2 linked regions of the Xenopus tropicalis genome follow. The protein of the gene in region 1 interacts with the protein of each later gene in a pairwise test. Links are inferred from orthologs where the notes say so. Each region holds a gene or a part of one and is shown on either strand. Other genes may lie near its edges.

The links.
Region 2: the proteins of oprm1 (region 1) and gja4 interact in binary tests that used the Homo sapiens proteins (3 or more experiments, as listed by UniProt). The link is inferred for Xenopus tropicalis from reciprocal best matches to the Homo sapiens genes OPRM1 and GJA4.

Annotation. Positions count from the first base shown.
Region 1 is NC_030681.2:43,492,264-43,495,763, reverse strand, and holds part of oprm1 (mu-type opioid receptor), read right to left. Parts: intron 256-3,500; coding exon 1-255. UniProt on the Homo sapiens protein: Receptor for endogenous opioids such as beta-endorphin and endomorphin. Receptor for natural and synthetic opioids including morphine, heroin, DAMGO, fentanyl, etorphine, buprenorphin and methadone.
Region 2 is NC_030678.2:89,193,550-89,197,585, reverse strand, and holds the start of gja4 (gap junction alpha-4 protein), read right to left. Parts: upstream 2,801-4,036; 5' UTR 2,720-2,800; intron 1-2,719. UniProt on the Homo sapiens protein: One gap junction consists of a cluster of closely packed pairs of transmembrane channels, the connexons, through which materials of low MW diffuse from one cell to a neighboring cell.

The sequences.
Region 1 (3,500 bases):
GTTCTGAAGTCTAGTGCTTTCACGGGATGGCAAACAGCTATGTAGCGATCAACACTCATAGTGGTCAAAGTAAAAATGCTTGTAAACATGTTATAATAATCTATTGATATGACTATTTTGCACACAATATTGCCAAATGGCCACGTTCCCATCAAATAATTTACACTTTGAAAAGGGAGGGTGCTCGTTGCGAGGGCATCAGCTAGGGCAAGATTAAAAATGTAGATGTTGGTTGCAGTCTTCATTTTCGTGTACCTAAAAGAGAATACAAATATAAAAACCTTAATGCATTAAGCCAATATTATTCATAATTTATAATTAATACAGTGATTTATTTAAAAAGACAATCTGGTTACGGGTGCAATGTTTGCTTCAGGTCTAGTAAGTTGCAATAACCAACCAGATTTCTTCTACCTGCAGATTGGTTCTTATGGGTCACTAGCGCTGGTATAAATATTGGACTTTTTATTACATTACCCCTAAGTATCTTGGTTAATCCAACAAATAGTCCTGATTAATTATGGGCTATATGACTTAGTGAAAGATAAAATAATTAATCCTAATGATGCAACAATATATGACCAATATACTGGGTGAAAATGGAGCCTACACTGTTGCATGACAAAACAACATTCACAATAAAGCTTTTTTTGGGGGGGGGTATAATGAAAGTTATAAGAAGCAAACAAACTGTATAAATAAGACTGATGAAGCTTTTATAAGTGAAACGTGTAGCAAACAACAATCTGAAGACCATGTTTACAGCAATAATACAGATACATTGCTTAATAAGATTTGGAGCCGTTTTGGCCTTATTACTTCCTGTTGGTAGAACGCACACAAGTGGAACACAGTGTGTTTAGGCAAAGAAGCTCCAAACACACCTGACACAGAAGGTTCGCTAAAACTCGATCTTTATTATTCCATTTAAAATCAGTACGCCGGATGCGTTTTGTGCGTTTGCGCACTTAATCATAGGCAGTCAATAGTGACAAAACAATGATGGACATAACAAAACCACACCCATCACTAATTGTATAAAGGAAAAATGGGAAAATTAAATCGAGTGGAAATGTTCATAGCAAACCTCTTAATTTTACAAAATAAGTATAAAAAACAATAATAACAGTAAAGTCAATCAAATAATTATATCAAAATAATATAAGTTATTGATTATTGATATAATTATTGTTGATATAATTATTTTGATATATTTTGATATAATTATTTTGATATAATTATCAAAGTGGATGGGGCGATAAGGGGTGAAGCGGGTAAGTGGCTGGTTCGGTGAGATCTGTCCACACTTACCTCTAATGTGGGTGGGTGCCACTACAGTTCATGTTATACTCATTTGGATAGTATCCCCTATGAAACTGATAAATTGACTGCCCATTTTTCATCAATATTTTTTCACCTCTATCAATTATTGCTATTATTTTGATATCACACAAGTTATGAAGGGTTGCTGAACTGTAACTAACCTCTACTTGATTGCATTTACAATGAGAGGTTGCTGAACTATAACTCACTGCAGCTTGACTGCACTGGCATTTTAAAAATACTACGGCTGCTGTTTCAACTGGTATTGTGAATAATTGGGGCTGCTGACTGCACTAGCACTGCTTATTGATTTTCTGGAATTGTTTGAAGGCTTGATTTCTTGCTAAGGAATTCTGAAATGAATTTTAGTAGATAAATTTGAGTGGCCAATTACATTTTATATTTTTATAATGTGTATGAATTGGTAGACAGTCACGCAATCTATTTATATTTATAATTTCTTGCTGAAATTTTAGTTGGTTGCAGACATCAATTTGTGGAATGAAAACTATTATTTAACACTGGGATTTGGTATCTTGAAACCTTATTATAATAAACAAGATACTGTAGTCCGGAGTGTTGCTAGAGGAAGAGAAAAACTATGGAGTGGTTATTTTGTACCTTATAGACTGTATTTTACCATTAATAGAGCCTGAGGAATAGAGAAAGTGCTTTATGACCTAGAAGGATGTATCTGCCAATTAAGGGACTCAACTATATGTTGCACATTTTAGTAATCGATAACCCTCTCATGACTGGGGCCGGCTACTAGGAATTCAGGTTAGTTACCAAAAGCAATGGACATGATAGTCCCACCAGTAATCAGGTGCTTATGATAAAGCCATTCTGAGCTTCTGAGCTGACCAGATATCAGCAGGGCAACTTGTAAATTTATCACCTGTCTTATAAGGCTGGCTTTTTTTAAAAGCGGTGTTATAAATAAAACAATAAATATGCATATGCCATTCTGTTTTGCACAAAACCATACCTGCATATTGTGGCATAAAACACCCTGCTCTGTGAAAGTTTCTTCTTTGCAAATTAGACATATAGGGCCCGATTCACTAAAGTCCGAAATAAGGAGTGCTATTTATAGCATGCGTTAAAAATCTTATCACTTCTTATTTTTCACTCGATTCACTAAAAGGACACTTGCAGAGCGCAATATATTACGCACGTAACCATTACTTTCTGAAAACCACCATTTCCCTGAAAACTGGAGGATGCATCACTCTAGGGCCAACATATACTTGAAAAAATATGACTGCAAACTCCATGTTGTGTTGCCAATAGCTCACGAACCGCAATTTTCTTTAAGTAGCGCCTGCCCCAAGTAGGGTTAATATTCACACAGATTAACACGATATTTTGCACGTTTAACGCTTCATATGTGTTTGTGAATCATGCATTAGTACTATTTCTTTTCGCTAATTAACGCAATGCGTTTTTTTTGTGCATGCGATATGCGGATTAACACATGTGAAATGACTTTGATGAATCGGTACTTAATTATCGCATGCTTTTTAATGAAAAAAACTATGCGATAAGCGTTATTGACCTTTAGTGAATCGGCCCCTATAACGCTTATTGCATAGTTTTTTTCATTAAAATATGTCATTGTAAGATAAATAACGCCAAGAACATCGCTTCTTAATTATGACAAGTGTCCTTTTAGTGAATCGAGCGAAAAATAAGAAGTGATAAGATTTTTAGCGCATGCTATAAATAGCACTCCTTATTTCAGACTTAAAAAACACACTGTAGTGTTTGTATAAGTTTATAAGACATAGCACAAGTGTTTGTAAAGGGGAAAACTGGAATTCATTTCTGTAAAAATATGATTTCAGTTCTAGTGAAACCTAGCTTTACATCAAAGCATTATATTTACATGTAATATTTTTATGTATATAATCTCATTGGACTGTACTGAATTGCCATTTCTAGTCTGTTGCTACTTATAATGCATATATTAATACCTATAATGCATATATTCATACATATGTGAGCAGTAGAGTAATAGATTTGCAGAGAAACTTTAAAGGTTTTTGTTTGATTTGTTAAAAATGTAAATAATTAAGTGACTTGATTCAAATTCTTAAAGGATGTGTAATGTCTATTTCAATATTAGAAGTCACCTTAGAGTTCCATTGTCTTTACCTTACCTTACCATATAATAT
Region 2 (4,036 bases), on another chromosome or scaffold:
TCAGGGCTGAATTGGCAGGTAAGGAGGTAGAAACAATAGGATTTCTACCTCCTTCTGCCGATTCAGCTCTGAAGGGAGAATTTTGGTCAGGCGCCTTCTATGGCGCCCGATCAAAATTTTCTAACCTGGCCGATCGACGAGCCGACCGATTTCAGCAGCTTCCTGCGACATCGGTCGGCTCGCTGACATACCATACACGCACTGATTATCGTACGAAACGAGGTTTCGTACGATAATATCGGTGCGTGTATGGCCACCTTTAATCTCAGACCTTTTGTATGTACATAATGCAAATTTACTGCATAAATAATTGTACTTTGGCACTGTTATACTATAATTTTACTAAATTTACATTGAGTATGATACATTTCTTTTTATTAGTTGAAGTCATGGTGTGAGTGCAACCAAGGCCAAACAGGAGACTAATACTGAGTTTAATATAGTTAGGTTCTGTTATCTAGGCTCTGGTGTTGGAAGATAGCGTAGAGCAGAGCCTCTATAACTGCAACCAGGACTGTATGTGCCCCCAATATATTTAAGGACATGATACATTTAAACAGGATAGGAAACCTCAAGGGTGTTAAATTCTTATACAAATAAGAGCCCAACAATGTTAATTAGGCAACTAAACTTTCAATTAGAAGAATGCAATTGCAACAACAAGGGGCCATATGCTGGAGTGTAAATATTAGAAGTTCAAGAGTAATGCTAGGGATTACTTTACTGAGAGACCAGTGGGTGTACAGATAAGCTTTCTGCAGACATATAGACTGACTATATGTATCACTCTATGTTTATTTGCAACTTTCCTTAGTGTGACTTTCAGCAGCTGACTTCATCAATTTATATAATATAAATGAAATCCACCAGAGAGCTCCCATTTGTTCAAACAAGTGTAGAACTTTATTTAGAGATGCATAGCACTACATGTTTCAGACCACATGGGTCCTTCCTCTGGTGCATGTGGTCCGAAACATGTAGTGCTATGCATCTCTAAATAAAGTTCTACACTTGTTTTCACAAACAGGAGCTCTCCGGTGGATTCCATTTATATTATATGATTTATTCTTTTGGAGGTGGCTGAACACCAGAAATGACGCCAAGCAGATTTAGAAAATATTTGGCACAACTGCTCCTGATTTGTGACAAACGCTCATTCAGTTGTGTCCATTTTGTCAAATCAGATGCTATGGCAATTGCATTGCTTATTTGCGTCCACAACAATACTGGAATTCTGGGATAAAAATTGTTGTATTGTGGCAACATGGCAACTGCCCTCGACATTGAACTTTACTCACTGCACTTGCGAATGTAAATGAGCTTTATTGTCTATTATTATCTATTATTATTTCTTAAATCATTCTGCCATTGTTTCTTAAGTTTCCTTATTTTGAATTACTTTACCTTTAGGTTTCACATTATGGTGTCTTACTTGTTTAACTTGTATACTGCATATTGAACATTTACAATTTTAACTAGATATTTTGTATTTTAGCTTCAATATATATATATATATACAACCATTAAAAGAGTTTTGGTCTGTGCTATAAAACAAAACATATCCTTTTCAGGATGCTCTAGGCACTTTGATCACGACTATAGGTAGGATGGTTATGGATCAGTTCCACTTATGGAGAATGGGAAACTTCATGAATACCTTGACTGCTCTGGGTCATTTCTGAGCATCACGTACAGGATTTAATCCACTCACAGATCCTTTTCTTTCTAACTGAAGGTGATCAGTGTGTGAATCATGATGAAAAGGTCAATTACTTTCCATTTTCCACAATCCTTATGTAAGGCAGCTCTTAAAAAGACTTTCAGCACTTAATCCACATTAGAAAAGTATAACATAGTCAATTATTTCTTGTTGTTGTGCTTTGATAAGAGATATGGATGTACAGGTATAGAATCCCTTATCCGGAAACCCGTTATCCAGATAGTTCTTACGAATTACGGAAAGGCCATAGACTCCATTATAAGCAAATAATTGTAATTTTTAAAAATGATTTCCTTTTTCTCTGTAATAATAAAACAGAACCTTGTACTTGATCCAACTAAAATATATTTGGAGGAAAAACAATTCTATTGGGTTTAAATGATGTTTAAATGATTTTTTAGTAGACAAGGTATGGAGATCCAAATTACGGAAAGATCCCTTATCCAGAAAGCCCCAGATCCCGAGCATTCTGGATAACAGGTCCTATACCTTTACTACTTTAAAGCTGCTAACGGCATCCTGGTGATGTCACCCTTTGTAATTATATAGCTTAAAGAATTGTCCCTAATTTTGCTGTGTAGACACCAAAGATCCAAAGCCACAAGGAGCTGTAAATAATGCTGTGGCAGCGCAACACCTTCAAAGATTCCCATCATATCAAATAAGTGCTTGCCTTCAATTTTATACTGAATATTGTATTTTTTTGCTTGAGCAGTTTTATACAGCTATTATCAGTGTAGTGTTTTCACATTCATTTTTAAATGTTTAGCTCTTTTGGTGAGCGTTACCACTGTCTGGTTCTGTTGTGTATCACAAAGGACATTTCAATAGTATTATTATTATGAATACTGTAGATGCCTCTCTATAAAACCCCTATGTGTGTTCTGGCATGATTATAACCAGTAATATTGTACACTGTACTGTGGACATTAGAGATGGGACAAGTACAGTTCTTGTGGCAATACATTTCTAGGAACAGACTGTAAATTAAATACTCACCAACAATGATCAAAGTGGAGCTTCTAGCTATAGGCACCCCACCTGCATTGGCATGCCCAAGAACAGTGTGCAGAGCTAGCTGTAATGCCAGTCTTCGCTGGTAGAGCCATATAAATTCCGTATGTGCCAAGAGCTGTGTGATAAGAGAGGCATTCAGATGTTGCCCTTTGCCTTTTCAAAAATATCCCACGGGGGAAAGAGGAAACAATGGGGCGGACTATGGGAGGTGCAGGATATTGGGGGTGTGCTTGGCTTGGAGAAATATTTAACTTGTTTAGTGCCAGAATATTGAGCTGTGTACAGTAATACTTATCATAGATGGATGCAGATCTTCCTCGTTTTTTTAAGACACAAAATTTTACATACAGTAAATATCAACAGAAAATGACTTTTACATTTATAAGGTTATCAGATCATGTAAAACCTCATCTCTGAATTAGTGCGGCCCAGCAACTTGCGTTTATTTGTAATGTTTCTTGATTTTTCATGTGGTTGTAAAATTTTATTTACTGCTGTTAATCTGACCAAATATGTGGAATATATCCTATTTTTTAAAAAAAATGGACATAAACCTTTCATAAAAGTATTGCACCACCCAGAGTTTCTGAACTACAGGTGTGGGATCACTTATCCGGAAACCCGTTATCCAGAAAGTTCAGAATTATGGAAAGGCCATCTCCCATAGACTCCATTATAAGCCAATAATTCGAATTTTTAAAAATGATTTCCTTTTTCTCTGTAATAATAAAACAGTACCATATATCTGATCCCAACTAAGAGATAATTAATCCTTATTGGAGGCAGCAACAATAATCCTATTGGGTTTATTCAATATTTAAATGATTTTTAGCAGACTTATGCTGGCCATACACGCACCAATAATATCGTATGAAACCTCGTACCTCATTCAGTGCGTGTATGGCAACTCGGCAAGGCAACCGATATTGCAGGAGCTGCTGATATCGGTCGACTCGCCGATCGGGCAGGTTAGAAGATTTTGATCGGGTGCCATTGAAGGCGCCCGAGCAAAATTTATGTTCAGGGCTGAATCAGCAGAAAGAAGTAGAAATCCTATTGTTTCTACCTCCATATCTGATGATTCAGCCCTGAACGTCAGGGGAGGGTTGGAAAGATCGCCACATGTGTGGCCAGCTTTAAGTTATGGAGATCCAAATTACGGAAAGATCCCTTATCCAGAAAACCCCAGGTCCCGAGCATTCTGGATAACAGGTCCCATACCTGTACAACTTTTAACCCTTCCTACCTCCCCACACCGGTTGGACCAGCACCCATACCCCCTCCTTCAGCATGTACAAT